Rhinolophus ferrumequinum: one gene and its partners. The protein of the gene in region 2 interacts with the protein of the main gene of each other region in a pairwise test. Links are inferred from orthologs where the notes say so. Each region holds a gene or a part of one and is shown on either strand. Other genes may lie near its edges. The genes, in order: ZBTB16, KRT40, CCDC185 and MXI1.

What was found.
Region 1: the proteins of KRT40 (region 2) and ZBTB16 interact in binary tests that used the Homo sapiens proteins (3 or more experiments, as listed by UniProt). The two-hybrid records come from large-scale screens. The link is inferred for Rhinolophus ferrumequinum from reciprocal best matches to the Homo sapiens genes KRT40 and ZBTB16.
Region 3: the proteins of KRT40 (region 2) and CCDC185 interact in binary tests that used the Homo sapiens proteins (3 or more experiments, as listed by UniProt). The two-hybrid records come from large-scale screens. The link is inferred for Rhinolophus ferrumequinum from reciprocal best matches to the Homo sapiens genes KRT40 and CCDC185.
Region 4: the proteins of KRT40 (region 2) and MXI1 interact in binary tests that used the Homo sapiens proteins (3 or more experiments, as listed by UniProt). The two-hybrid records come from large-scale screens. The link is inferred for Rhinolophus ferrumequinum from reciprocal best matches to the Homo sapiens genes KRT40 and MXI1.

What each region holds. Positions count from the first base shown.
Region 1 is NC_046294.1:83,543,420-83,550,967, forward strand, and holds the start of ZBTB16 (zinc finger and BTB domain-containing protein 16), read left to right. Parts: upstream 1-4,532; 5' UTR 4,533-5,081; intron 5,082-5,210; exon of another isoform or gene 5,211-5,536; intron 5,537-5,647; exon of another isoform or gene 5,648-5,802; intron 5,803-7,548. UniProt on the Homo sapiens protein: Acts as a transcriptional repressor. Transcriptional repression may be mediated through recruitment of histone deacetylases to target promoters. May play a role in myeloid maturation and in the development and/or maintenance of other differentiated tissues.
Region 2 is NC_046304.1:37,223,535-37,230,550, forward strand, and holds the start of KRT40 (keratin, type I cytoskeletal 40), read right to left. Parts: upstream 3,012-7,016; coding exon 2,562-3,011; intron 1,859-2,561; coding exon 1,776-1,858; intron 1,490-1,775; coding exon 1,333-1,489; intron 512-1,332; coding exon 350-511; intron 271-349; coding exon 145-270; intron 1-144. Other genes in the region: keratin-associated protein 3-3, read right to left, coding at 6,297-6,593. UniProt on the Homo sapiens protein: May play a role in late hair differentiation.
Region 3 is NC_046310.1:12,729,178-12,735,737, reverse strand, and holds CCDC185 (coiled-coil domain-containing protein 185), read right to left. Parts: upstream 2,402-6,560; coding exon 512-2,401; downstream 1-511.
Region 4 is NC_046299.1:17,050,888-17,058,099, forward strand, and holds the start of MXI1 (max-interacting protein 1), read right to left. Parts: upstream 3,011-7,212; 5' UTR 2,714-3,010; coding exon 2,452-2,713; intron 1-2,451. UniProt on the Homo sapiens protein: Transcriptional repressor. MXI1 binds with MAX to form a sequence-specific DNA-binding protein complex which recognizes the core sequence 5'-CAC[GA]TG-3'. MXI1 thus antagonizes MYC transcriptional activity by competing for MAX.

The DNA of each region.
Region 1 (7,548 bases), on a different chromosome or scaffold from region 2:
TCAGAATAAATGAAATATTCTGCATTAAAGACTCTGAGACTGGTCGTGAGTTTTGTGGACAGAGAACACGATAACCATGAATGAGTCCTATATAAGGCGAACACAGCAGTTTTCATACACTTCTCTCACATTAAGGAAGAAATATATGAATAGTACAATTTAGACTTGAGTTGTATTTCGGGACCATCGTGCTTCTGGTGGCAACTCCAATGAGTGTCATAACTATCACACACTCCTGGTGTCAAACAGCTGCCCTGGATCGAAATCTATAAGGATTGAAATCTGTAACTTTAAACACCTCAGAAGTTAAACAGTCAGTTATTTCAAGTTAAAAGGCACAAGAAAATGTTACGTACTTCCCCTCTTCCTGGCCTCTCTAGAATGAAACACCAAAGTGTTAGAAAGACCCCATTTCTGAGAAGGATTTGAGCATGGGTGCCCAGGGATTTAGCTATGGGACTCGCATCACTTGTAGTGGGAATTTTGCTGCTTTAATGCATGCATACTATATGGAAACCGCACCCCTTGACAGCTGCAAAATTTTAGTTTTGAAATGGAGGCCCTCTTTCTCAGAACAAAGCAGATTTCCAGAATCACCCCAAACTATTCAATGTTGGCGCTGGGCCTGTATGTTTGTGCTTATGTGTATCCAAAAGGGAAAAATGCCTTTCTCTTATGCGTAGATGCTCTTTCAAAGACAACACATTAAGACATGATGCCCAACAGCTGACAGCAATGGTTGCTATGTCTCACCCCAAAGCTTTGTGAGGAATCCCATAAAACCTGGCACATGGTTTGTGACACCCAGTGAAACACTGTGCTTCTTCCATAATAACCTGAGCCCTGCTGCCTGTCATTAAGGGACCTCTCTTATTAAGCATCTCTTTTTAAATGGCTGCCATCATCTGGTCCCAGTGTACATTAAATCCCATTATAATTATAAACACGCTTTCCCATAACATCCGTTGCAGATTTCATCCACACTGCCTACCCCCTCAGGGCATCTTTGCACTAATAACAACTCAGATTTGCTATTTGAGTTGACAACATTCGGTCCCAACACCATTTGCAATATGCTGGGGGAAGAGAGTAGAAAAAGCTTTCTCTTCTTCAATCATGAAGATTTTGGGGTCCTAGTGACTGAAGACCTCAGCGGCTAAAATAAATAACCTCTCTTCTTCTCCCTTTGAAAAGTCACTTTCTGCCCTACAGATGAGAGGAAGGGCATACACAGAACCTGGAAGAGAAGCCCAAGTGTGTAAATGCCACTAACCAGGACTCCACGGGGATGGGGGTGGAGAGGTAGCAATTAGTAGTCAAAAAAGCCATCCTCTTATTTGGTTTTCTCAGGTTCAAGTAACCAGAATCCACATATCACTTGATTATTTCCCCCCTCTGTTTTTTGGAGCAGGCATCTAAAGAAGGGACGTGATAGAATTAAATGTAAAAAAAAAAAAAAAAAAAAAGGCAAACCAAAGAAAACTATCAATATATACACTGAGGGCAAATTCGACTCTGCCTAATTTTTGACATCATCTGCATCTAGCTAGTAGATATCTGCAATAATGACCTTGAAGCATTGTAAGATCCTTTGCCACTAGAAAAGGGCACAACATGTTTGCTATTATCTTCCCCCAGGGGTCTCCAGTGGGGTAAAGATCTGAGAGTGACAGCCTGGTGCAGCCTCCAGTAGCAACCTGGAGTTGTCAATTGCAGTGGAGACTACTTTTTCCTTTCAGGGGCTTCACTGCCTGCACCTCTCCCTGAAAACACTTAATTCCCCATTCATCACAAGATTTTGGGGAAATGCAAAGTAGCTTCTTCTCCTAAAGGTAGGAGTCCTTGACTTATCTATCATGATAGGAAAGTTTACCTTTACAATTTAAAACTATTTTTCAAATAAGGAGTTGGAACAAAATGAGTTGCAACATTCCATTAACAATCAGAGTAGTCAAAACAACACTATAACCTTCTTCCTGGGCATCTGTTTAGTTGAAGTTTTACTGTAATTCAAAACTCCCTCCTCCACTTTTGCCTGAGATTTTGAGGAAGGAAGGAAAGTGCAGAGATTCTGGGGGCTCTAAGTCTATTTACCTGGTGGTTTGATTCAGTGGATAACTGTTTGGGCTTCAGCTTGGTGGCTGCTGCACAGAAGATGAGTAATAAGTGGAGTAAGATGAAAAGTAAAATTAAAATCCTTTGTTTCCCTTTTCTATCTTGCTAGAGGCTGTATAATTTGCAGGTTAAGATCAGGAGCTTTGTAGTTGGAATGGTCTGATTTAAAGTCTCAGCTCTGATGTTTAATAGTTCTGCAAACTTGGATAAGATACTTAATGTCTCTGAGCCTTTTTTCTCATCTGCAGAAATGGGGAAAATAATAGTACCTGTATCAATAGGATTGTTACAAGGACTAAATAAAACAACATAGGTAATGTGTTAAGATTCATAGTCAGTATTCAGAATGAGGTATTATTCCCACTGTCCCCTTCCTGTAAGATATCTTAGTCCTGATAAACCATCCTCTTCCACAAACTGAGCTCTGAAAGGCTGCTACCAGTGGGAGGTGTATGAATAAAAGTGATGAGGGAATAAGAAGATTTAGCAATGGAATTCCATCCACAGGTCAACTCATCTCTTCCCTTGTCTCCAGCATGACCTCCCTCAGGCTGAGGTCTCTTCTATTTTTAGGGACTGGTCAGAACTGATGTCCCCGCTTCCCTTACCACCCCTTTCAAGAAAAAAGTAAAAAGAAATTACAAATATACGAACATGAGAGAGACAGAGACAGAGAGAGAGAAAGAGAGTTTTCTCTTGTAATTTTCCATCCTGCTTGTTTTTAGGTGATGCCATATGAAATCTCTGAACTGGGGATTCTCATCAGCGTTCCAGGGACCCAAGGACATAGCTGTGGCTATAAATGGTGCCAGTTTTGGTGGTAGAGCTGCTGCCGCTTTATCTGGACCCAATAAACCTTATCAAACTGCCTTGCAGCCAGCCTTCAGCGCTAAGTGGAAATGCTTGGAACCCAATGCTGGCACTCAGCCCACAGCCTCGCCTGCCTTCCTCCTTTTGTTACCTTCTCCACCTCTTAAATTCAGACATTAATCTCTCTTTAACACTTACTAACAAGGGCTGGGCTTTTTAATAGGCAGAGTTTATGAAGCAAGGGAGATTTTCACATAGAGTATGGCATGGAAGGTGGGGGAGTCCAGGGCCATTGAGGAACTGTTCTTTCTCTCCCATTGTTTCCAAAGATTCCCTTTTTCTAACTTAAGGATTAATAGAAGATTAGGATCAAGGGCTAATTTGTGCTTCAGCTACTGCGCTGGGGAGGGACTGGTAGTGGATATGGACTGCAAGGCAGCAACCTTCAGCAGGTACCGCCTGGACAGAAGTGCAACAAGTTTAATGATTCTTCTATTGCCTTGGTGAGGCATGGGGGGGGGGGGTGTCTTTTCTCCTCTTCTGGCATCCTTCCCTTCTTCATCTCTTTCCAGACCAGTTTTCTTCACTTTCTTGAAATCCCTTTCATCTTACAGACCACGAAGACCCTAGCTAGAAAAATCGTCTATAATGGGGATTCCTCTTTATTGTTAAGCACAAGGCATCCCCAGGGCTTGGGCTTTCCCATGCCTGGGCAGGTGTTGCTGTGTACTCTATTAGAGGATAACGTTCTTCCTTCACCTGGGAGTGCGCTTCTCTGCCCTCTGCTGTCCTCTCCCCAGCACTTTCCCTGGGAGTAGGAGACAAGAGCGACACTTGCTGGGATGGAATTGCCTGTCTTTGAGACTACCCCATTAGCAGCTCTTGTGAACCCAGAACAGTTATGATTTGTAAACTCTGCCTCCTAGTGTTTTGCACCCCGAAGAGGATTTTTTGTCTCTACTTGGCTTCTGCCACCTTCCATAACCCTACAGTTCTTGGGGCCTGACTGTCCGTCTGGGCAGTGCGGAGGCACCGAGGCACACATGGGGATGTGATTATACGGAAGTCTTGTGGAAAAACTTTGACCGACCCGCTTGTCAGCGGCAGAATGTGGAGACTCAAGACTCCGTGATTGAAGCGCCGCGTTGCTAAGACTGCATGACCTCTGGGGCTGACTGTCCTGAGACCCAGGGATGGAGCTCTCCACCCCACTCTCCTTAGCGTTAGTCGGGCACCACGGCCTGCCTGCACGCAGAAAAGCGCTTGCCACCTCTTGCCCCCTACCTTCGCCAGGCTCAGGGAGAAGGCAGGGGGAGAAGGGGACTCTCTAAGGGGACTCTCGACCGCCTGAGGAAGGGCAGATTTCTTTTGGTTGCTCTACCTCCGGGTTAGTGATAAGTCTACCCTCTAAAGTGGAGCGACCAGTTGAGAAGAGGAAACACTTTGGGGGGCCTTCAAGCTTTCACCGTCCCCTGAAGCCTGCGCTGAGCAGGACGCAGTCCTTGGGAACTCTTTCCAACCGGGTTCCTTGGCGGGGGGGGGGGGGGGGGGGGGGCAAAGAAGAGGGCATGCTCAAGTCTGAGAGGGAGAAGAGTTTCTCTCAGGCCTCGACCTCAACCCCCAGGGGTCTGATAGCTGAAATGGGACGTCCACCTCCAACGTCAGATCCCCGCGGACCCTCTGGCACTTGGTTCACCACGGTCAGCGAAATCTGCGTCTGGAGACTTCTCGCAATCCGGCTGCTCATCGCCCGGAGGCACACCGCAGCCGGGAGGCACAGAAGGCCTGGGCTGGGGCTGGGAAAGCAACCTTCTAAAACCGACGTCGAAGTACAGGGGATGCAGTCCCCAGCCCGGAGCAAAAGTGAAAGGCGAGAGGACACACACTGAATTGGGACAAACAGTGAAGTCAGGGACAAAACTCCGCGCCTGGAGAAGCTGGGGGAAACAAAACCCGTGTCCAGTGGAAATTAAAAACCTCGGGGTTGAAGGTGGAGGCTGATCCCCGCACCTCACCTCCACTGCCCCCACTAGGCTTCCGAGTCCCTGGCTTTCCTCTCCACGATCTCCTTTCCTCTCCGCTAGGCGGGTGAGCGGCGGCCGCCAGCGCCCCAGCAGCAGCTAGATGTCAGGCGAAGCCCGGAGCGCCGCGCGCGGGTAAGGGAGGGGAGGGGAGAGAGAGGGAGGGAGCGAAGGGAGGGGAGGGGTGGGGCGGGGAGCGCGCGCCGGCTTGGCCAGTGCGGGGGGGGAAGGGTGGGCGGGCTGAGCTCGGGGACGGCACGGGAGGGGGGAGCGAAGGGGGGCAGCTGTGGGCAAGGAGCCCGGCTCGGCCGCCAGCACTAAAGATGGAGAGGCGCCGGGGCCTCGTAGGGGAGGGGGCTCGGCGTTGACGTGAGACGCGGCGGAGGCGCCGAAGCCGGTGGTGATTTGCTAACCTCGCAGCAGAGAGGAGTTGAGGGCGATGAGAGCGGGTACTGCGAACTGCCGGGCGATGCCGCCGCTGCCGCCGTGATACCGAGAGCAACAGTTCCCCAGCAACACCCTTCCCCGACACTGGCACACACCCCCCAAGAGGCACGCACACCCACCCCACAGCGCCCGGCTTGGCAGCGGTGAGTGAGGGGCTAGGGAGGGGCGCACCGCCCAGCGAGAGACGCGCGCCAGGGCGCCCCTGAGGCTGAAGAGGTCTGGGGGCGCCCTCGCTTCAGCCACTCGGCCGCTGAGCTTGTGCCTGATTTTATTCGGCTTGTTCCCTTCCTGCTGCTGCAGCCGTCGCCACCGCCGGTTGGGGGTCGACTAGAAGGGGGAGCCCTGGCTGTCAGCTTGGGCACAGCTGCTACCCCAACCCTTCCGCACCCGGGCACGGTCGGGGTGAGAGGTAGGGGCAGAGCGGTGTGTGGGGGCTGAGGGCGCGAGCGGAGGGTTGGGGATCGGGAGGCTTTGTACCGCCGGGGGCCGGCGGAGGAGCCGGGAGCGGGTGGGTGCTCATATGTATGCGGACCGGTGCGCGGTCGCGAGATAGGGTTGTGGTTTGTGTGTTTATTCGCCGGCCGGCTGGGAAGCCAGAATCGGGATCCGTGGAGTGGATCTGGGGGCGGAGGAGAGCAGGAGTGGGACTCACTTGGGTGTTGTTTTTCTTCGTAAAAACGTGGTGAGCCCTTTTTTCCTTGGTTGGACTTGATTCCCCCTGTTTAGGGGGGAGGGCGGCCGTGGCGGAGCTCCGGAGGGTCTTCAGGGCTCCGGGCCCTCCTCGGCTCTCGGCGGGACCGGCCGTGGCGCCGGAGCTCGCTGTGCGCTTCCGGCCGTACTCGGTGGGTGTCCCAGCTTTGCACCTGATGCGTTCGGGATGCCTTTCCCACCCCGGCGCACCGGCGGCTCGCACGCGCAGCCCCTGGAACACTCCCGCAAGCGCTCAAAATGCGCACGGTTTCGCTGGCCCGCCGACCCGCTGGAACGCACAGACGCACTGTGCAACGACTCACTCGTCCGCTCCACGGGACGCGCGCACCGTGCCTGGGCCGGGCAAGGCGGCTGCTGGAGGCTCCAGCCCCGCGCGGCCTGTGACCCTGCCCGTCGCTCCCGGGGATCACGGCCCTGGGTCGGACAGGGAAGGCTGGCGGATCCCTTCTTGCCTTTCCTCCCACAACTCTCTCCTTTGCTCCCACAACTCTCGGTCCGGCTTTTGTGCTTTCCCTTCGCTGCGGGGTGGGTCCGCCTCCTAGCCGCTCTTGCCCCGGCATCCAGCCCGCCCGGACTCTTGCTTTTCGTCCGGGTCTCTTTCGCTTTTCCTCTTCCCTAGCCCGGCTCCCGTTCCTTCTGCTGTCTGGTTCCCCGGGAAAAGTTGCTTCCCCAAGTTTGCCGAACACGTTTCCAACTCTTTGTGGGGGTGGCTGGGAACTAGGGGTGTGTGAGAGCGCGATCGATCCCCGGAGCTCGAGCGGGTTAGCGCCGGCTTTTCACCGCGGCGCAGGGCTGGGCGCTGCAGTCAGCGCCGGCCTGAGATCGCGGGCGCTGAGAGGCGAGTCGGGGGGGACGGCTGACCGAGGGCACCCTGATTTCCCTCAGGACCCAAGGAGCTTTCTTGTGGGAAGGAATTCGGGTAGCCCAGCTTCCATTCTTTCGATTGCTCCCTCCTAGTTTTCTGAAACCCTGAAGTCTGCGGGAAAGCGCATAGTGGTTAAGCAGGGATGAATGGCCATCCCATCCTTGATGGCCTTAGTCCCCACTCCAGGCTGGGCAGCAAAAGTGTCTTGATTAGCAGTCCTGTTAACCCTTTCTGCATGAGATTTGTGGCTCTGGAACCCATAAGGCTCCTTCTGGGGGCTTAGGCAAGTTGTTTTGGAAGAGTGAAGGAGAACCCCTGCTTTGCTTTGCTCCTAGGTCATTTTACTGAAATACTGGTCACAGCAAGGCAGAGGCTGGGAAGGACGTGGCCTGTGAAGTCTTTTTAACACTCTTTAAACAGTTCAGAGTCCCAGGCCCTGTTACTGATCCTGAACTGCGCCCTGGGAGCGGCCTTTGTTTCGCAGCCCTGTCTTCCCTTCATACTGGTTGTAACTCATACCATAGAGGCTGGTGCCAATATTGCTTCTAGCACCTCCAAGCCATGTCCAGCATCAGTTGC
Region 2 (7,016 bases):
GGAAATATAATCCTTGCAAATTGGAGATTCAGACTTCCTGCCACATGAGCTGTGTGGGTCTCTCCTTTGAATTATGGAAGAGGGGATAGTATCTTAGGGCCTGATTCTTCAGTGACAAATCAGAGCCTTCTTTGCCTGACACACCAGGCTTTGCTGTGCTTGGAGCTCAATTTCCAGAGTGTTGGCTGTGCGTTTCAGTTCCAAGATCTCTGTCTGGCAGCCCTGCAGCTGCTCTGCGCTGGAAAGCTGCTGTTGATTCAGCTCCTCCATCTGAAACACAGGCATGATGAGAGAACGCAAAGAGGGCAGAGGTCTGGAAGCCTGTCTTTGTACCGCTCCAGGTACTGACCTGAACAGCGAACCACTCTTCCGCTTCTCTGCGGTTGTTAGCGAGCACCGTTTCGTACTGACAGCGCATCTCATCCAGGACCCTGTGGAGGTCGATGGTGGGGCCACTGTCTAGCTCCACACTGAGTCGGTCACCAAGCTGTCCACGAAGCACGTTGACCTCCTGAAAGTGGCAATGAAGTAAAGAATGTCACAGAGTGGTGGAGGAAAAAAATCACCTTGACATCCTAATGATATCCTGTTTTTGTTTTTCAGAGTAGTGAGTACAAATATGGGATTTAGATTCAGATTGCCTAGGATGAATCTCTTTCCATCACTCAGTTTCTTCATCTTCAAAATGGGTATAATAATTTTATCTTTTCCACAGAGTTAGTGACCGATAAATGAGTTAATACGCACATAAAGCACCTATAAAAGTCCTTGGCTTATAGTAAGGTCTCAGTAAATGCTAGCTGCAATTTTCATCAACAGATGTTCAAAGGGAAAATGTACTTTGTTACATCATTCAGTTTTTCACATTTTAGATTCATCAATATAGGATAATCATATACTTCATATTATGTGATTTTAAAAAGTTTATTGATGCAGAATATTTAAAAAATACTGGTCCAATATTGTCAGACTCTTTATGGCCTTTTTGAAATGGTTTCACAGTATGTGTTTATCAGGCTGATTTTCTTACCTTATGGATTAGAGTTAAGCATGGCATAAAGCCTCCAGGGAAAGCCATTTGTGGAGTTACCACCTCCACAAAAGCGATGGCCGGTGAAGAGTTTGGTTCTTTCATCTGGCACTGGCTAGGGGCCAGTTTACGGCTATACTCAGAGACATACTGGAATGAGCAGGCTGAATAGTAATAGTGCCTTCAGTAATTTTGTTCCAGCTTTAGCAACATCTACCCAAGTTCAATTTATATACACATATGAAATCTGTCAGTTTAATTTGTCAGTCTTACATTATTTTGGCAATTTCCATGTTCCTCACCTCCTCATGGTTTTTCTTAAGGCAGAGCAGCTCCTCCTTCAGAAACTCCACATGGGCCTCCAGGTCCGACTTGCACAGCGTCAGCTCGTCCAGGATCCTGCGCAGGCCACTGATGTCAGTCTCTACCAGCTGGTGAAGGGACAGTTCAGACTCGTACCTTTCATAGCAAGAGAGGCATGTGCTTACTTTGCTAGACACTGGGCAAGGCGCTGGGACACATGGACTCAAGGAAGCCATGTGCTGTAATTTCTTCTACATCTGAATAATAATCAATTTGAGCTTTGTGAGCATTCTTAGCTTAAAAAATATCATACAGAGAATATTTGTGGCATGCGCATGTGTGTGTGTGTGTGAGTGTGTGTGTGTGTGTGTGTGTGTGTGTGAGAGAGAGAGAGAGAGAGAGGTGTAACCATAAATTATTTTCAAATTTACATTAAACTTACTTTGCTCTAAAGTCATCGGCAGCCAGTTTGCAGTTGTCAAGCTGTATAGCGAGTCTAGAATTCTCTGCCTTCGTGCACAAGATCTGGGAATAAGTTGTCAAGTAATAAATGGTTCTTTGAGAAAAATCTAAATATCTATTCTTTTAACAGCTATGCCATTATTTATCTTTTAAAAGTCTTTGTAAGAAAGTATAAGATAGCTTATTGCCTGCTTTTCTTGTTAACCATGTCACTTCATGAAAAAAAAAAGGAGTGCCAGTTTATAAATGAAATAGAGAAATCAAAAGGTTTAGTTTTTTAATGACCCAAGACATTTTGCAGTATTTCTTGGCAGGTGAATTCAATTAAACTTTTTTCCATAAGTAGTTTGTGTTATGACTGTATCCCCATATATGATAATAAAAATCCATCAGTAAGAAAAGAAAATTATTACTAGATAAAATTATATGATTAAAAAGATGACGTTTCATCTTATGATAAAAATAATACAGCTGTACAGTGTTACCTACATAAGTAATTTTAGATATCACTCCATTTTTCCTTCCTCTGTAGGTGAGGAAGGTAGAGTCTAGAGGTGAGTTTATTGTGGTCACCCAGTATAGCAGTGGCAGCCCTGGGCTTAGTGGCATTTCCTGACTTGCAGTCCAGTGCCCTTTCCTGTACATCGCATTACCACTCAGAAGTCCCTTTTCCCAGGCTTCCTTCTGCAGGACAGCCTCTTCTAGTATAAAGATCAACAAATCACAGTTTGGGAAGGCGGAGCATTAGGGCAGTGAGACACCAGACCTTTTGCTGGAGCTCTTCAATGGTGTCGAAGTAACACTGGTAATCGGGGCACACCAGTGGGATGTCCCCTTCATACTGTGCCCGGATCTGGCATTCCAGTGCTGCATTCATCTCCTCCAGGCCACGCACCTTCTCCAGGTAGCTGGCGAGTCTGTCATTCAGGAACTGCATCGTCTCCTTCTCACTGCTGTTGAACACCCCATCCTCACACCAAGCGCAGTGCCCCACCGAGCACGGAATATTACAGCTCCCAGAGAGGTAGCATGGAGCGAGGCAAGCTGTCGGCAAGTGAGACCTGGATAGGAAGCGAGGGGTCTGGCATCTGGATGTAGCACAGGCACTGCTGGGGAGACAAGTGGTTTCCACGGGACAGGTTAAAGCAGTTGCACCATCAGAAACCCTGGCACAGGACTCAGACGAGCAGCACGTGGTGGAACAGTCCGAAGGCATCCTTTTAGAAGTGAGGAACAAAGATCAGTGGCAAAACTCAAGTCGCCTAACTCCAAAAGTCTCCTTCCCTGCTTGGACTTTTATATAGCCCCCCCAAATGGGTATTTACAGAATGCACCTGATGTTTTCCTTATTGCTGTTGGTGCCGGTTTTCATATGATCATTCATTAGTGTTGTTTATTTGCTGAGGAAGAGTTTTATGCCTCATAAAAGAAGCATAACTTCAGGTTACTAAATAAAAACCCATTCCCATTGTACCAGTAGGATAAAATACTTGTTTCAGAAAATCTTCATAGGAAGCATTGTCATTTTGACAGAATAAGGAAAGAAAGAGAAAATTTGGCCAATCAGTAATTATAGCTACAACTGATTACAAAAAAGGAAAATAATATTCGCACAGATTTTGATGCTAGCATTGAGAATTGTTTATGTCCCCTTTTAAAATTAATATTACAACACATTGAATGCTATTTATTTGTTTGTGCCACCACCATAAAATGTTCCACGTGATTAGCAATCTTTGCAGTGCTGGTCTTGCTGTGCTCACATGGTAGAGGAGGGAGGTGTATGCTGGCTTTAAAGTGTGTGTGTGTGTGTGTGTGTGTGTGTGTGTGTGTGTGTGTAAATTATATCTGCCTGTGTGGAAGTTGAAAAGTCACTCTACATGACTGATGGTCATAATTTGTGTCCTCCAGGCCAAAATACAAATGGGATACCAGACCTTTTTGGGTTATCAAGACCTGGAGCTGTGATGTTTGATATCCTGAAACTTACCTTTCCCATATTTTCTATTCCTCATTTTTAGATCAGGGATACTAATTTTTACCTGTATCTCTAATAAGAGGGAAATATAAATTCTAAGGTTAATCTTTGAGTCTCTTGGGAAACCCTCAGTGATTACACTTTAGAGTAGGGGCAATGAAGCTACAGAAAGCTTTTCTTCTGAGATATGGAATCTCGTATGTATGTATGTATTTTTAAAGTCCCCAACTTCATGGAAATTAAAAATGCAGGAACTAGGGAATAAAATTACATAATAAAATATATCACTAAATTTGGAAAAATTTCAACCTTTTTCCAAACCCAAATTTTTCTGCACTACTTTCTCATATTATTTTGGAACAACGACTTCATGTATCTTGAGCCACTTAACACTGTCCTACAGGCTGCTCAGGTTCTGTTAATTTTTTTTCAATCTTTTTTTCTCTACCTTTTAGTTTTGATAATTTTGATCTATCTTAATTCATTGACTTCACCCCTAATTGGCAGTTTCCAATCTGCTATTAAGGTCACCTATTGAATTATTTATTTAAGATTGTATTCTTTAGTTCTAGAATTTTCATTTGCTTCTTTCTTATTTAATTTAAATAATTAAATTTAATTTGTTAAATAAAAATGTAAAGTTTTACTTTAGATCTTTATCTTGTCTATTCTTTTCACATCTTTTCATCTTTTCCTTTAAATCTATGAAAACATTTGTAATAACTGATAATTCTTGCCTGCTAATCATAACATCTATGTATCTGTGGACCTACTTTTATTGGCTACTTTTTCTCTTGGTTATAGATGACATTTTCCTGTTCCTTCACGTCTTGCAATTTTTAATTATATGCTGTCATTCTAGATGATGTATTTTAGGAAGTCTTGATTATGTTGCAAAGTTTTGGGTGTTGAGTTTTATTCTGACAGGAAGTTAAATCACTGGAAGGTCCTTTTGATCCTCTCAGGCTTGGTATTTTTAGACTTTTCTAGATCAGGTATAATTTGGTGTGTTCTTTACTCAAGGTTGTGGCCCTTACTCTTTTCGTATGTCCTTCTGGAACATTGATTAAACATCTGAGGTACTCCCAGAGCTTTGTCCCCTCTGGATGGGCTGGCACTTCAATATCTGTTAGTATTGAATGACTTCTGGTATCTCCGTTCAGCTCTTTATCCCCCAGCAGCCACTCTCTGCTAGCTGGAATTTTATCCTGTGTGAATGCAGCCCAGCCCTCTGCAAATACTTGATAAGAACTTTTACACAGACTTCTGCGTCCTCCCGCACGCATCTTCCTCTCTAGAACACTGTTGTGCAAATTCCAGCTGCCTAAACTCTATTTAAATATGCCACATGTGCCTCAAACTTGTCATGTCTAGAGTAGAGCACAGTAGTTCCCTTTTTAGTTTTCTCCTCTGTTACCATACTCAGTTGGTGACCTAACTCCACTGTCTAATCTTTCTTTGACACCCTCTTCTCTTCCATATCCCTTTGACCACCAACTCCAGTCAGCTTGTCTTTGACTATGTCTTTCTTCTCTTTATCACCATGGTAGCAATCTTAATTTCTTAATTGTTCTGAATTTTATGGTACCACAGCACTTTAATGATGCCACTGTTAAAACACTTTTTAAAAAAAATTATCCTAGAATGCCTGGCATTCATAAATAATTGTTAATTGCATGAAGGAATGAATGGTATTGTGTATGTATCTGCCTCACCTGCCAGACTGTCAGCGCATTTTGATCAGGGACAGTATAATGCAGGACATATAATAGATATTCAATAAATGTTTATTGAATGAATATTATATTATTATTTTTTGCATAAATAGATTAAGTCACCTGGATTAGTTAATACGTCATATCATATTTACTTTTCAGATCATGTTCAGTAATTTCCAATCTATCTTAAACCATTTTCTGGGGGAGGGAAAGTCAATGAAAGTTTATTTTCAAAGTATGCTAATATATTAAACCATCTTTTATGCAAGTCCATTTAGTTTTATTACAAACAAGAAATATTTATCTGTACGCCCACCATTCTCAGTTTTGCAGATGCCCTCTTAAAATGCAGTGCTTAAAATGCTGACTTTTGGAGTTAAGAAAATACATTTAATGAATTAACAGAAAACAAAATAATTGTAGACATTTGTGCTATGCCAGAGATGTAAAATTTATTAGGATGATCATGAAAAAGCTCCTTAATTTCCAGGAAGATACCACCCAAGACTAAAAACAGAATTCCCAAATACCCAAAGAAAGATACACTTTAATATGCAGGACTTGAACAGCTTTGGGAAACCCATAGGCATCCTCCTGCTCAAATTGCCCCTGGTTACTGATATCTGCTACGTGGCCATCGACAGTCTCTTGGTTTTTTTGGGGGGTAGGGGATTGTCAGTGATAGTGCCATCCTTGCTCCAACTTCGGAAGCAAAGTCAGTGAGTTGCAGGTACTGAGACAGGCGAACACTAAAGCTTCTGGGTTGACTCTTTCAATGTCAGGCACTGGGCGAAGCAGCCATCGGTCAGCAGCAGCTTGGGAGGCAGGGCTCACAGCAGGGCTGAGTGTAAGTTGTGAGGTTGATGGTCTCCAGGCCTGGGGTGGGCAGGCAGGAGTTGAGCAGGAAGCAGGTGGGCACACAGGGCTGAGGAATGTGGCAGGGTGGGGGGCAGTTGTCACAGCAGGTTGGCTCCAGCAACCAAGTGGTGTGTGGGCAGGTGCTGGGCAGGCAGACTCCGCAGCGGCAGCATTTGTCAGAGGAGCAGATGGTGGAGGCAGGGCCGGTGGGGACGCTGCAGCAGCAGGGAGCACGGCAAGCCATGGCGGTGGGAGTGTGGTTTTTATTGGTTTTGTTTCCAGACAGATGAGGTTTCTGAGGTGATCCTGTCTCTCCTTGCTCTGGGGTTCTTATATACCCTCCCTAATGGGTGTCGGTCCAACCAGAAGGCTTCTTTCCTGGTTCTTGTTTATGTTAGTGTATCCATTATCCTTTAATTGGTTTGACATTTAGATGCTTGTAAACAGTCTCTATTCTCCCAATTAACCTTTATTTGAGTTCTTTGCTAAATTTGAGCCTATTATTCTTGCTATTTGTCACTGGAACAGGAGCTTTATGAGGTATTATCAAAGGCTTCTGCTATTAGAATTCCGACACCAGCCCTGCTGGGGAATATTGCACGTCAGCACACCTGTAGTTTGTAGGTCTTATCTCTCTAGTGCTGGTCAGTTATTATTCTGTTTACCT
Region 3 (6,560 bases), on a different chromosome or scaffold from region 2:
AGGCCTTTTCAGAGCCTTTGAACTTTTCATGTTTAAAGGGGGGACGCAGTATGCAGGGATCCCAAATCTACATGCTTTTTCTTTTTCTTCTTCTTGGAGATTTCTTATGACTGGTACTTCACACTTCACCCTTTCGTAAATTCTGGGAGAGGAAAAAACCATGACATAGAACAATCTCTCCTACTGTAGATTTTTCTCTGGTTCCTCCAAGATGTGCCCGATATGTGCTTCTCAGATTACTTGAGAGCTAAATGCATCGTTTCTATTTAAGTCAACATTCACAAAGGCAAGTAATTTTCCTAAAATTCCCAAACGTCTATCCCTCACCCTCTCAACGACCCAAGTGAATGGACAAACTAGTTCACGAGAGGAAATTGTAGCTATTTTATAATTTTTTTACTATCAATGCTCCCTTATAATCAGATTATAAATGGAATCACATCACCAGATGTCTTTCCAGCCGCCTGGGCGGTGAGCTCTCACTCTCTCTCTCTCTCTCTCTGTCAGGTTCTCAGTAGCCCCCTCTCTGCTGACCCACACGGAGCTGGGCCTCCCGGTCCAGCTGAGCAAAGAGTCTGTTGGCTCCCACGTTGTCCCTCCTGGAGGCCCTGGAAATCTTCTGGAATTCCTCGAAGTTGGCATCTTTTTCTCGGGCGAGCTCTTCCATCTGCTCCTTTTTCCTAATGGCTTCCTTGATGCCCTCCACGTGGCACTTTTCCTCCTTCTCGGCTTTCAGCTTCAGGATGTGATGGTTCTTCTCCCGCAGGATGTTGAGCTCTTGCATGTGCTGTTCCTGGTCCCTGAGGTTCTTGTGGACGTTGCTCCTGTCCTGCTGGAACTGCTGGTCCGCCAGCTCCACCAACAGCTGCTTGTGCACCTTCCTCTGCTCTGCCAGCTGCTCCGCACACCACTTGACTTGCTGGAATTGCTCCTCCTCCATCCGAGCCTTCTCCCTCAGCTCGCGGTGACGCTCCCGAATCAGGCCCTGGTGGATCTCTTGGGACCACTGGGAACTCTGTTCCAGGGACAGCTTCCTGAGGAGTTCCTCAGCCTTGGCCTGGCAGTCCATGAGGACCTTCCGGGCCTGGTAATTGACTAGGGAGCTGAGATTGGCTTCCTGGACCTTCCTCTGGCCCCCGGTGGGGTGCAGCTGCTTCTTGTCACAGGCCTGCTCCGGCTTCTTCTGCACCTCCAGGCTGCTCTGCTCCCGCTGGTGCCGCACCACCTTCTCTTCCTGCTCTTGCTGGCGCTGGACCTGGCAATGCTTCCTGTGATCAGCCTCGGGGCGGGCCCTTTCCAGCTTCTCCTGGCGCTGGGTCTCCGGGCCCTCTGATTGCGCCTTCCACTGGTTCTCTTGCTGGACCATGTTCTTGGCGTGGCCGTCCTGTTTCCGTCCAACGTGCTGCTCCCCGCTCAGGCGAGTCTTGCGCTGCTCCTTCTGCAGCCACTGCTCCCGGCTCTGCTGCAGTAGCAGCTTGCGCTCCCTTTCCAGTGTCATCTGGACCTTCTGGTCCGAGCGCTTCAGCTCCTCCCAGGCTGCAGCCGCCTGCTGCTGCAGCTCCCGCATCCTCTGGGCCTTCTTGAGACGGGTGAGCACCAGCGCCACAATCTTCTGGTCCCTGGAAGACGTTACCGCCTCTTCCAGCTTGTTCTTGAGGATCTGGGTGCGCTGGCTCTGCCTCTCCTTTCTGGAGACTGAGGGCTGGGAGTACTGGCCGGCTAATAACTCCATGCCATCACTACTGTCCCTCCTCTGGGTGGACACGCAAGCGAACGCTTGAGAGGGCGCAGACGACTTCTCTGTGGGGACTGAGGACAGGGAACAGCAATCTTGACCTCTGTAGACCGGCACTGCCCATGGGTCTCCACTCTGTCCCTTTTCTGCCCTGAAAGTTCCACTCGGGGGCGTGTAAGCACCCGTGGAATACGGTGGGGGCGAATCTCCCTGGGCTGGGGGGTAGTGTTGGCAGGACTGGGGCCGTTGGGGTGACAGCTGGGGCTGCTGCGGCCAGGCTGGCCTGCACCTACTTCTCCCCAGAGGGTGGGGCTGGGTCCTTGGCTCCCCGCAGGCATCTTCCAGGCGCCGGCTGCGGGTCCCGCGCTTCCTGGTGCGGTCTGGGGGCTTCCGGGCCATCTCTCTCAGGCAATGGCTTTCCCGCAGTGAGTTGTGGGGTGACTGGCGCCGGCGAGGCCGCAGGGTGGGCGAGCAGTGCGGGGGTGACAAGGCCGCGGCAACCTCACTCCCCTCGTCCGGAGTCCCAGCCCAGGAGCCCTGCGCCGGCTGGGTCTGGGGTCTGGGTCCACGCAGCCGCGAGGAGGAGGACGCGCGCCCTCCGCCGAGCGGCGGAGGCTCCCAGAGGTCTGGGTAGGGCAGCGAGGAGAAGTTGCCTAAGCCCTTCATGTTCCCTCCCTGCGCGCGCAGCGTATGAGCCAGGGTGCTGCGGCCTCCAGGGGGTGCTGCTGAGACCCGCCCCCGGCCCTCTGGGGCAGGGATCCCTGGCGCCTGTGACGCTAGGGCCACTTCACAATGCCCCAGTCGCCAGGGTCCTGCAGCCCTCGGCCCTCTCCCACCCCTGCCTCCCTAGCATTCGTACTGCGATGGGGGCAGTGGGAGGGGTAGAAGGCCGGGGGAAGGTGCAGGGTAGAGGGGAGCTGTAGGAAATCAGGGGTGACCCTAAGAGCTGAGGGTGTGTAGTGAACCCCCACCAGCATTTCAGGCAGGAATTTGATCTCACATCTATACACTTTAAAGCAGCAGGCTTTTAAAAGGACCTGAGTGAAGCTGTCACCCCAGAATGTAATGTGGAGGGAAGGATCGAGGGGGTCGGGGCGGGGGGTGGAATCCCCTGAGCCAGGCTTAGCCTCAGTCACCACCCCTTCTTCTGTGTACCTATATGGAGTCTGCAAAGTACGCGGCTGTGGAAGCACATTAATATGTACAACCTTTTTGCCTGCTTAAGTTAGCAAATCCAAAGTGTGTTTTGGTTACTTTTTAAACTTTAGAACAGGAAAAAGACTTGTCCATTTTCCCCTAACGTGACAATTCCTGCTTTTGTCAAAATGTGAATGTCGTGTGTACATTTCTGAAAAAAAAAATATTTTTGACCCTTTTCTCTAATTTCATGAGATTATTTTTCCTTGTTGAGGTACCCTAGGCTATTGGGAAAAAAACGATTTGGTCACGCAAACATGAGTTTGAATGACCTCTGCCACTTTCCACCCGTGTGGTCTTGGGCAAGTTACCTGCCTTTCCTGACCCTCAAATTCTGGAAAAGTGGAATGGACGAAGGGCTGATGATAACACACGGCATTGCAGAGCCGTCCTGAGGGTCAGACGAAATTATGTGTCAAGAGCTTAGCACCTTAATGCATTAAACAAATATTTTGATGTCCTGCTAGGCTTCAGTTAAAAATTGTAAGACTTAATATATGGGTTAACGAAAGTTTCTGTGGATTCCTAGCTTAAGAAAAAAAGAATGGGCTTAAGGTGCTACTAAAACAGTTTAGGTGAAGGGTAATGTGCTAGCGAGGGGCGGCCCCCAGGCTCTTGCACGTTCATCCTGCACTGTGGATCTTGGTTAAGTCACTTCCCTTCTCTGAGGTGCAACGCGGGAACAGTTTTGGTTGACATTCTTCAAAGAGGGTGACTCCTTAAAGAAGAAAAATGAAGATTGACTCACCCCTGTCTTCTTTACCCACATCTACTTGGAGTTTCACAGCAACTGCAGCTGTGTGGGCCCAACAGAATTGACGTTTGCTTCAGACGGGTCTGAGAGTTGGCCATGTTAACTGATTTCCCCAAAGAGCACAATGTCACTGGCGGGAGTTTTGACTTCAGATTCACTTCTTTTTCCATGACATCGTGCTGCCTCTCAGGAAATGCAGTTTGAATGGATGCATGTGTTATAGATCAAATGTTTGTGTCCCCCCAAATTCATATGTTGAAGCCCCAGCAGCCCTTAGCGTGTTGGTATTTGGAGGCAGGGCCTTTGCTAGGTAATTAGGTTTAGATGGGATTAATGTCCAAGGGACCAAAGCTTCCTCTCTCTCCTCATAAGGACACAGCCAGAAGGTGGCTGTCTGTAATCTGGGAAGCAGGCCCTTACCAGAATGGATGGAGGCAGCACCTTGATCTCAGACTTCCCCGCCTCCAGACTGTGAGAAATAAACATCTGTTGTTGAAGCCGCTCAGTCTGGGGTGTTTTGTTATAGCAGCCTGAGCTGCCTAAGATGACATGCTTTTAAGAAAATTATGATGAGATATACACCAGAGTGTCATGGTGGCCAGGTCCTTGAAGCCAGGTGGTAGCAGCCTGGACTAGAGGAGCTGAGCCCTCCTCTTCCAGGAGCCCTCTCTGCCTGGGTGGGATCTCCGATGTGGTCATTAGCACGTTTATAGCTGAGGATAAGTTGTTTCTACCCTAGATTTCTTTTTTATTGGGGGGGAAGGGCGTTCAGCTTTATTGAGGTATAATTGACACAGTTGTAAGATACTTAAAATGTACAATGTGGTGGTTTTATAGATGTATACATTGTGATAGGCTCCCTCCCATCCAGGTAATTGACATATCCAGCCCGCTGGTCGCTCTTTACCTTCACAGCCCCTACTTTCCAACGACCATGAGGCTGAGAGTCGGTAAGGCTGTGTTTTGTATGAGTGAATACTAATATCTTGAGGGATAGAACAGGCTGTGTTCTGGTCCTTTCTCCTTTTTAACTTCTACCCTAGATTTCTATAAGCGCCACTCAGACCATTGTTAGAGAAGTTATCTGTGGTTGTCATTTGTATAAGGAGGCAACTTCTAAAAAAATTAAATCAAATTCGAAACGGAATCATTTCACTTTAAGCTAGGAAATATGGAGGCATGAACTGAATTGTGCTGATACCTGAGTGTCATCTCTCTTGGTTACGGCTCTGCCAAGCATTTTGCAAAACCAAATGGGGCTCTGGCCAGTGCCAGGCTATTTCTTGTCACAGAGAAGCAGTGTCGTGTGGGAGAAAGCATAGCTGTGTGAGAGCTTGCACGTGTAGACTGGGTGGAGTGAGAGTAGCAGAGGACCAAGACATAATTCGGGATAGAGTAGCCGTTGTGGGAGGGGAGAGTTTCACGAAAAAGCGAAAAAGGAAGGTGGGCTGGACCCTGATGCCATAGCGCGTTGACTGCCAGGCTGCACGTTCCAGCTTTCCAGGGAGCTCCGGGATTCCTTACAGCTGCCATGGGTCCCATAGGATGTGGGGCTTGAGAACTTCAGGGCAGATTCTCAGGCCTCTGTCCCTGCTTCTGCCCTGACCCTCTGTCCCCACAGCAGCTCAGATTTTAGGTTTTGTATCCTGGGGCTCTTGGTTTCATCACATTGAAAAAATGTAAGGTTCTGCTTATAAAAAGCATTGAAAACCACTGTGCAGATGGCAGTGAAAAGTCAGTAAAAGTCTTGAAACCAAAAAAATTACCCAATTGGGTCTATATTTTAGAAATCTTACCCTGGCAGCAGTGTTGAGGATAAACTGGGGAGTAAGGGGAGGGGAATTGGAGACAGTGGCCAGTTAGATGGTTGATTCACTAATCTGGGTGAGCCAGCAGGAAGTATAAACCTGGACCGTGGCAGGGGGACAGGAAGGGATGGATTCAAGGGACTGTTCGGAGATCGAGGGACCATGATCTGAAGATGAGTTCCATCTGGAGAAAGAGGGTTTCTCACCTGGGTGCCTGGGCAGATGGTGAGTGCCAGTGACAAGAGGTCTCCTTCTAGGAGACCTTGAAAAGAGTGATCTTGGAAATCAGGTGAAAAAAGATGTAGTAATAAGGGAACCCCCACACAAAACAGCAAACAGAATATGTGGAGGAGACTGACAAACGGGAAAGAGACAGCTTTTCTCTGAGGGGCCTGGGGGGGAAGTGGGAGGGTGGTTGGAGCAGGGCAGCGGGAGCAGGGCCAACCTTCTAACCAGCATCTTTAGCATCTGACCCCTGGGAGGATGACAATCCCAGAAGCCACTGTCAGCTCTTGCAGTAGGCAGATGAAAGAGATGTTTTGCAAATGTTAAGCTGCCAAGCAGTCCCTTGATACTAAGAACCACCAGCCTCCTTTTTATTTGGCAGAAAAATCCTCAGTGTAGTTCACTGGCGGCCCCAGAATTTGGGACTTCTGCCAAATGAAGACCTGGGCCTCGTTTCTTCATTTGCTGGAAGCTTGGAAAACACGGCAAAATGTGCTCTGCTTCCACAATTCAAATTAACTTATGGAACAGAACTGGGCTCTGGGCCCTTCCTCAGAACGGCTGTTAGTAGTTACTGTAGTGGCTTCAGATTCGATCTCTTAGCAAAGCTTCTAGTTCTTGGATGGGTCAAAAGGGGGAAATCAGCGAGAGCTACTCTGTGCGATACAGCAGCCAGCGGCCACATTGAATGCGGATAGTCCCAATTGACATGTGCTATCGAGATAAAATACACCCTGGATTTCAAAAATTTACTATGGAAAAAAGTAAAATATGTCAATGCTTTTCTTTTTTATATTAGTTATTTGTCAAGATGGTATTTGAACACAACAGACTAAATAAA
Region 4 (7,212 bases), on a different chromosome or scaffold from region 2:
TGCTGGAGGTCACCCTCGCCTGCGTGAGCTTTTGGGGAGGGGGAGAGGGCCTGAGGCGGGGTCTCTGTAGCTGAGCCCGGCACGGCGCAGCAGCCCACGCTCTCGGGGAAATCTGGGGACCGTTGTCATCACGTCATGCAGAGCCAAACAGCGGCGGCGAAAAGAGGCAAGAGAGCTAAAAATACTCCCGCGGGGAGCCGGCCAGAGGAGAGGGGGGCAGCGGGGCAGAGAAGCTGATTACGCACACGAAGTTGACTTTTAGTGGGGCGCTGAGGTTCCGTGTCCCTCTTGGGGGCTGGGGACGTGCAGGGCAGACGCCTCGGGAGAGGGACCGGGAGGCAGACCCCTGGCTTTCTCAGCCTCGGGAGCCAAGCTCCGCTGCTGCTGGCCCGCCCCGCGCGGGGCAGCCGGGCCCGGCGCTCCGGGCCCTCTGCTTACGTGACTGGTGGCCACGCCGGAGCCCCGGCACGGGGTAAACAAGGAGGTGGCGGCAGCCAGGGCGGCCGGAGGTGGGGTGTGTGGGGGCAGCCGAGGTCTCCGATTGTCTGCGGGTGCGAAGGGGTGACGGGACGCGGTGGAAGCTAGAGCAGCCTCTTTAGTACACCTCGCTGGGGGAGGGGGGCAAGCCAGGTTTGCCACACACACTGCCAAGGTGCCCTCTTAGGGTGCACCCCTCGCCAGAGCCGGCGCCAAGGGACAGACTCCGAAGAATCAGGGACCCGGGCGGGGGGCAGCTAAAGAAATCGCGCCCCTCCCCCCCTCCAACAAAAGCAAACACACCAAACAAAACCACGTCTTCAGCCAGCTCCACACCAGCTCTGGCTTTTCAGAAACTATCCTCCTGACGAATACACACTCCCAACTCCCCCCTCCGACTCCCCCCCCCCCCCCGCCAATTATCGCAATCTGATTCGGGTACTTAGCCGGCGACGAGCCTTTCTCGAAACCCAGGCAGGCACTCTGAGAAAACAGGAGAGAAGAGAAAGAAAAGAACGCACCACCGACCTCCCAACACAAATCCTTGTTTTTTTTGCCTTACAGCTTCTGCACAATTGCACTGCCAACACACGCTTACTTTAACCCTGGAGGACTGGCGTGTCGGTCAGCTAAGGTGTTTTTGTGTTTGAGGGTTGTTGTTGTTGTTGTGTTTTGGGGGGAAGAGGATGCAAGATCTGACACGTTGCAATCGGACCATTTTCTCTCTCTCTCTCTCCCTGTCGTCTCATTGATCTTCCTACTTGTTCGGACAGATTAAACAGACTGGTTTTCTCTAGTCTGTCGGTCTGTCTGCCCCGGCCCCTTCCGCCTTCTCGCAGCTACGTATTATTTGTGAGGACCGCGCTGGAGACACCGCACACGCGTGCCCCCATTAGGGCGCAGAGTCGACTGCTGGGGAGGGCTGGGGGACCCGGCTGGCAGGGGCAAAAATGAAACCGACAAATACAAAAAAGGAGGCCAGGCCGGGGTGGGGCTCCCAGCAACCACCAAACCCCCACCCCACAACGCATCGCTCCCCCACCTGAGTCTGGGAGTGGGGAGGGGACGGTAGAAATCCACCAGGAAGGCGTTTGCCTTCCTAGCCCTGTGCGCTCGCTTGGGAGCCGTCTCCCGGAAAATAAAGAAACTGCACACAACAGCCCACACCTTCTTCCCCAACTATTGTTTCCTGCGAGATCCCAAAGTTTCCTTCTAGCTGCGTTCCACTCGCCAAGTTTCCCTGGAGGACCACGGCTCCGGGGCGAGCTGCTGGCGCTGCTTGGCCCTGCCGGCCTGTTTCTTGGGGGGAAGGGGTAAGCGGCACCCCAGGGCAACAGAGGCGCAGGGGCTCTGTATCCGAGGACGCGATGGCCTGAGCCCAGCTCTGCTGAGACAGGGGAGGAAAAAGCGAAGTAGACAGGAGGGAGAAGCAGAGCCAAGCCAGCCCCAGCTAACGCCGGGAAGGGCTTTTGGTGGCTGTTGTTATTGTTGTCGTGTGTGTCTGTGTGTTTTCTTTCTGGAATCGCTGAGCTCTGCCTACGGTTTCCAACTTTCGGCTTCTAATCCTCCCCACCCCACCCAGAAACGAGCGACAGAAAAACAACACTTGTCTGCCCGAGAAGGCTCCGGAAAAAAAAAAAAAAAAAAAGGAAGAAAGGCGACCTCGAAGAGATGAGCTCTTGGCTCAGTTGTCAGCAAACAACAACACCCCCGCTCCTCCGCCGGGAGGTCCTCCCAGCCTCGGGTAGCTGGACAGACACACCGACAGGCCCCCCTCTCCCCCCGCTCGTCTTTGTTACATCTTTAGCAGCTTTGTGCGTGCGTGTCCTTTCTCCGGTGTCATCGGCTTTACTGCCGAGGGCTGGATGTGAGTTGGGGGGAGGGGGCGCGGGCCAAGCAGGCGACAAGGGTCGCCCAAGTGGGCGAGGAAGAAAAAGCCGGGCGCAGAGGAGGAGCGGGGGCCCCAAAACTTACTTTTGTTTTCTTTCTCGATCTGCTCCAGGTAGCTGGCGGCCTCGAGCAGAATCTGCACGTTCTGCAGAAAAGTGTTGATGTGCTTCTCCATCGAGTTCTCGCTGGTGTTGAAAATGTCCGAGAAGGGGCACCTGAGCTTGGTCCCCGCGGGCTCCTCCGGCTGGGCCGGGGGCTGGGGCGCGGCCACTGCCGGGGGCGCGACGGGGGCCAGCCCGGCGCCCTCGCAGCGCGCCTCCTTGCGCGGCCGCCCGCGTTTGCCCATGGAGAGACCGGGATCCACTGAGCTCGTCCTCTTCAGGGGCTACGCGACGCGGCGGAGCTCCGCGCCCCAGGGGAGACCCGGCTGGCTGGAGCAGAGGAGGCGAGGAGGCGAGGAGGCGACCTGACTTCCCTAGCCTCGCTGCGTGCAGTTGTGTGCTTGAGTGTGTGTGTGTGTGTGTGTGTGTGTGTGTGTCTGTGTGTGTGTCTGTGTGTGTGTGTGTGTGTGTGTGTGTGTGTGTCGGTCTCGCAGTAGGTCTGTGTGTATGGGAGATTGAATGAACCTACAGGACAGACGGAGGCGCTCTGGCGCCTGGGTCCTAGTGCGAGCCTCTCTCCATTGGATCGGTCAAAATAAAAGGTGGAGACAAGAGAGTCAGGGACCGCCCCTAGTCGGTCCTCGCACCCTTCCCCGCCTCTCCCCTAAATTTACCAGTGTAGAGCGCGGGATGAAAAAAATATTCGATGTCTCTGAGTGCACCTGCATAAAAACAAACTACTAAGATACTTTTTTCTTCACATAAAAATAATAGCTCGTAAAGTGCCCAGCAGAATGCTTGGCACATAGTAGGTCCACAGTAAAATGACTTTTTTTTAAAAAAGCCCAAAATAATCATCACAACTAACCTGAAGTTTCCTCCCCGAATACACACACACACACACACACACTCACTCACTCACTCACAGAGGCAAGGCCTTGTGCTTTCAAAAGGCCAAATGAAATTCCCAGGCCCACAAATCCGGTTTACAGATTTACTCACCCTTTCTTTCTCCCTTCAAATGCAAAGTTATTTTCCAGGAAGGGGAGGAGATGTAAGCATCCCTCTCCACTCTCCTCTTCCAAGCCTTAGTCCAGCTGTGCAAAGCTCACACTGGGGTGTCACCACACCTGGCTCCCTTTTATTTGACAGAGAAGCAGAACTGGCAGCCTAGGACAAACTACCCCAGCTGAATTCCACCTTTTGGCTCTGAAGACCCCTACCCCAGCTGGCATTGTTTTCACTCTGCTGCTGTCACCCAGTCAGTCTGCAAGAATCCTGGATGTTTTCCTGGGCTAGGAAATGTGGTGGGAGTCAGGGGAATATTTGAGGACCTCTGGGGAGTGCAATAGAGAAGGGTTCAAGTCCCAGCTCTGCTGCATACAGACTGTGTGAGCTTGGGCCAGTCCCCTAACCTCTCTGGCCTAGGTTTCCCCAACCGTGAAACCTCTGATAAGATTCTTATGCTGATTCAATTATATCTGCACTGAGCACACTGCGTGGCCCCTACTAGTAAGATATTTTTTTCCAACCTAGACCCAGACTGCAGCCTGCGTCCCCTATTCACATCCAACGGGGAACAAGCTGCAAGAAGCAGGACTCTTCCGCACTTCGTTGGAAAACATCTCTGCAACAAGCCCATCTAAATACTGTCACCTTGCAAGGCCACCTGGAGCTTTCCTCCAGGGGAACCATTTTCATAGAAGACACGGCAAATGCTGCCCCCTGGAGTTGTGCCACCCAGTCACCCTGCTCAGAGGCAGCTTCATGTACATTTGCCAGGAAGACTCTTACTGGAAATGGGAACTTTTTGAAAAAAAGGAGAGAAAGTACATTTCTTTGTAAAACTCTCACTATAAAACACTTAGCATACACACACCCTCTCAGAGACTTCAAAGAAGTCTTTTGTGCTTTTAGAATACAGCAGGTCCTCAAATAACGTCATTTCAGTAGTTAGTGAGATGCTGCAGGAACTTGACCCTTGTTTATATCATTTAGCCTATGGAAAAATTGGTTTCGTTATAAGTCGTTTTGTTTCAAGCTGCAGAACCTATAGATGGCATTAAGTGAGGCTTATCAAATACTAATAACATGCAGCTGATTTGACAGGAACAATTAGTAACTGGCATTTTAAAGCCAATGTATTCATATTTTGGACCATAATATAATTATACTACACATACTCTGCTTATTTTCCATTTTGTGACAAATTTTGCATGGCTGATCTCTGGATCTTTTGGCTAGGGTAAGATACAGTAAGTGCGGACTTATTGTATACTATAACATGCTGCTGATATGACAAGAACCATCAGTAAATGGCATTTTAAAGACAATGTATTCTTAAGAGCTGTGAAATAAAAGTTTGCCTTCCATTATCACAACAATTACTGACTTTTTTATTCCTGTCAGAACCACAACCTGAGTTATTCATATTTAAAAGTCTATAAATCTCTAAGGGCTTGGGGAAGGTACAGTTTCAAACAAGTTTTATCGAATGCCATTTTGCCAAAACTGGTGCTTGTGCGAAACAGCTATGATCTCCTTTGTCCCAATGTAAAGTGATAGCAAGACAATGAACCAGTGAAGCCCAGAGAAAACCTTGGTTTCGTATTAATTCCCCGGTGGAAGGATGGGCCAGTGTGCACATACGCAGTCCTGCCACCTACATGTACGTATAAATACAGCCCCCCAAGACAGGCACGCCCCACGCATGAGTGCAGGGTCAGTGGTAGAGTGTTTTCTAATTATTTATTTATCCTTGTTTCATCTCTCATAGGTCTGTGAGCTTCAGAAAGCCCAGTGGGAGTCTTCAAGCTGGGCCATGGATCTGACCAAAGCCAAAATAAACAATGGCTTGAAGAAAATCTACAAAAAAGTGCTGATTTGCACTATTCCCACAGTTGGCCACAGCCCCCACCATCATTCCCATGGAAAACACCACTGCTGGTGCCAAATCAAGTTTTTCCCCCATCATAGTGGCATTGTTTTTTGTTATTATGTGAGTTCTTAGCATCAGACAATGGCACCACAAGAGACACAGTGGAAGCAGGAGAAATGCCTTTTTGTTTCACAAAGTCTATACTATTGTGCCCTGGAGCCTCACATATAGTTTAGTTGTATATATTCGTTTTGGTAGCATGTATGTGGAATGGTGAATGTGCCAAGTGGAAGCTCAAAGCCTCTTGCTTATATTTCTTCAGAGCCCACCAAGTGCTAAACCATGTTTGCATCATACTGCTCTCTCCCTCCTCCCCTACCCCCGCCCCAATTAACAGATTTTTAATAAGAAAGTTGGCCCAATAGAAAGAGTGGCGGTTCAGGGGTTATATCATGGGACAGGCATCCAGGATGCTGGGTTACAAGCTCAGCTCCATTCCCGATTAGCTTTACTTCCCAGGAGGAGCCATTCAAACCCTTTGTACCTCACTTTCTCCCAGGCTTTGCCTCCATAAATAAACAGGCCTCTTTGGAAGCTTGCTGCGAATCTCTGCAGAGAACAGGTAGGGGATAAAAAGGCAGGTGGCCAGCCTGATCAGAAAACTCTTTGAAAGAAAAGCAGTGACTTCTTGCCATGCCCAGCAAGGCCAGCCACGATCCTCCAGAGGGCCTAAAGTATCCCAAGTGCCCGCTCATCCTGGGTCTTGTTTACCCAATTTTCTATTCTTTGTTCAACCTATTTGCCTGTTTGGTAATATTTTTCCATCAACCTTGTTAGTATATTAAAGCAAGACCACTCTTTCTTTTATTTTCCCCTCTTTCCCCCCAGACATTCTATACTCCTACATCAAAGGAATTGTTTTGTCTGTAATTGTGTCTTCAGGTACGCAGAGGCTGCTTAATTACTGAGATGGCACTAGGTGAGTGGCCCCAGACCTCCTCGTCCTGCATGCAGGCGGGAAGCCCTTCCCTGTCCTGGATGGACATCTTGGCTCTCCCGGGCTCTTCAGCCTTCCTCTTCTTCCTTACCCATTCTCTTCTCACTAGTCCTTTCTGCTTCAGTCTGTCCCTCCAACATCTAGCCTTTCTTTGGATCTTGCCAGCATGGCTAGATGAGGTTCTTCCCTGCTCTTTGACCCGTGGTCTTTGTCCTCAGGCTTGGTAAACACCATCAAGAGATCTTCTGTACCCTGCATTGTCACTTAAGTCTTCATCCCCAGAGCTTTCTTAGCCAGATTTTTCCTGAGCACCTTTTCCTTTAGAAAGGGATCATCCAGCAAGAGCTGAGGAGATGGCTCAGGATTCCTTCTCTCCTTGGGAGTCTTCATCTTGCCTTCATCTCGGAGAAGGGAGAAGTGGCTTCAAGGAAAGTCCAAGGCTAGAGTGTTAGGGACTATAAGACACAAGCAGAAGGGCAGGAACAGGAGGACTGTGGGACTCTGCCTCTCCCAGTGGCTCCCAGCACAGCCTCGAAAGTGCTGACCAGGCCTATTTCCACCACTCCCCATGCCTCCCCACCCCCACCCTCACCAGTGAGTGTAGACATGGCAGAGGATAAATAGCCTCTGCCCTACATTGGAGCTTACCCGGGTGTCACCTGCTCCTGAGGCATTATCTCTGCTCTTCTGGACTCTGCCCTGCCTTCTCCTGGACCTCTGAGGCTGGCAGGCCCTTCCTGTCTTAGACAACTCCTGGGCTTCTCCTATGCAACGCCCAGTACTTACAGGGTTCATTAGACTATGAGCTCATCAAGGACAGGAAGTATGTCTCGCTCCTGCTGGCATCCCCAGCCCCTGGCACCTGGCAC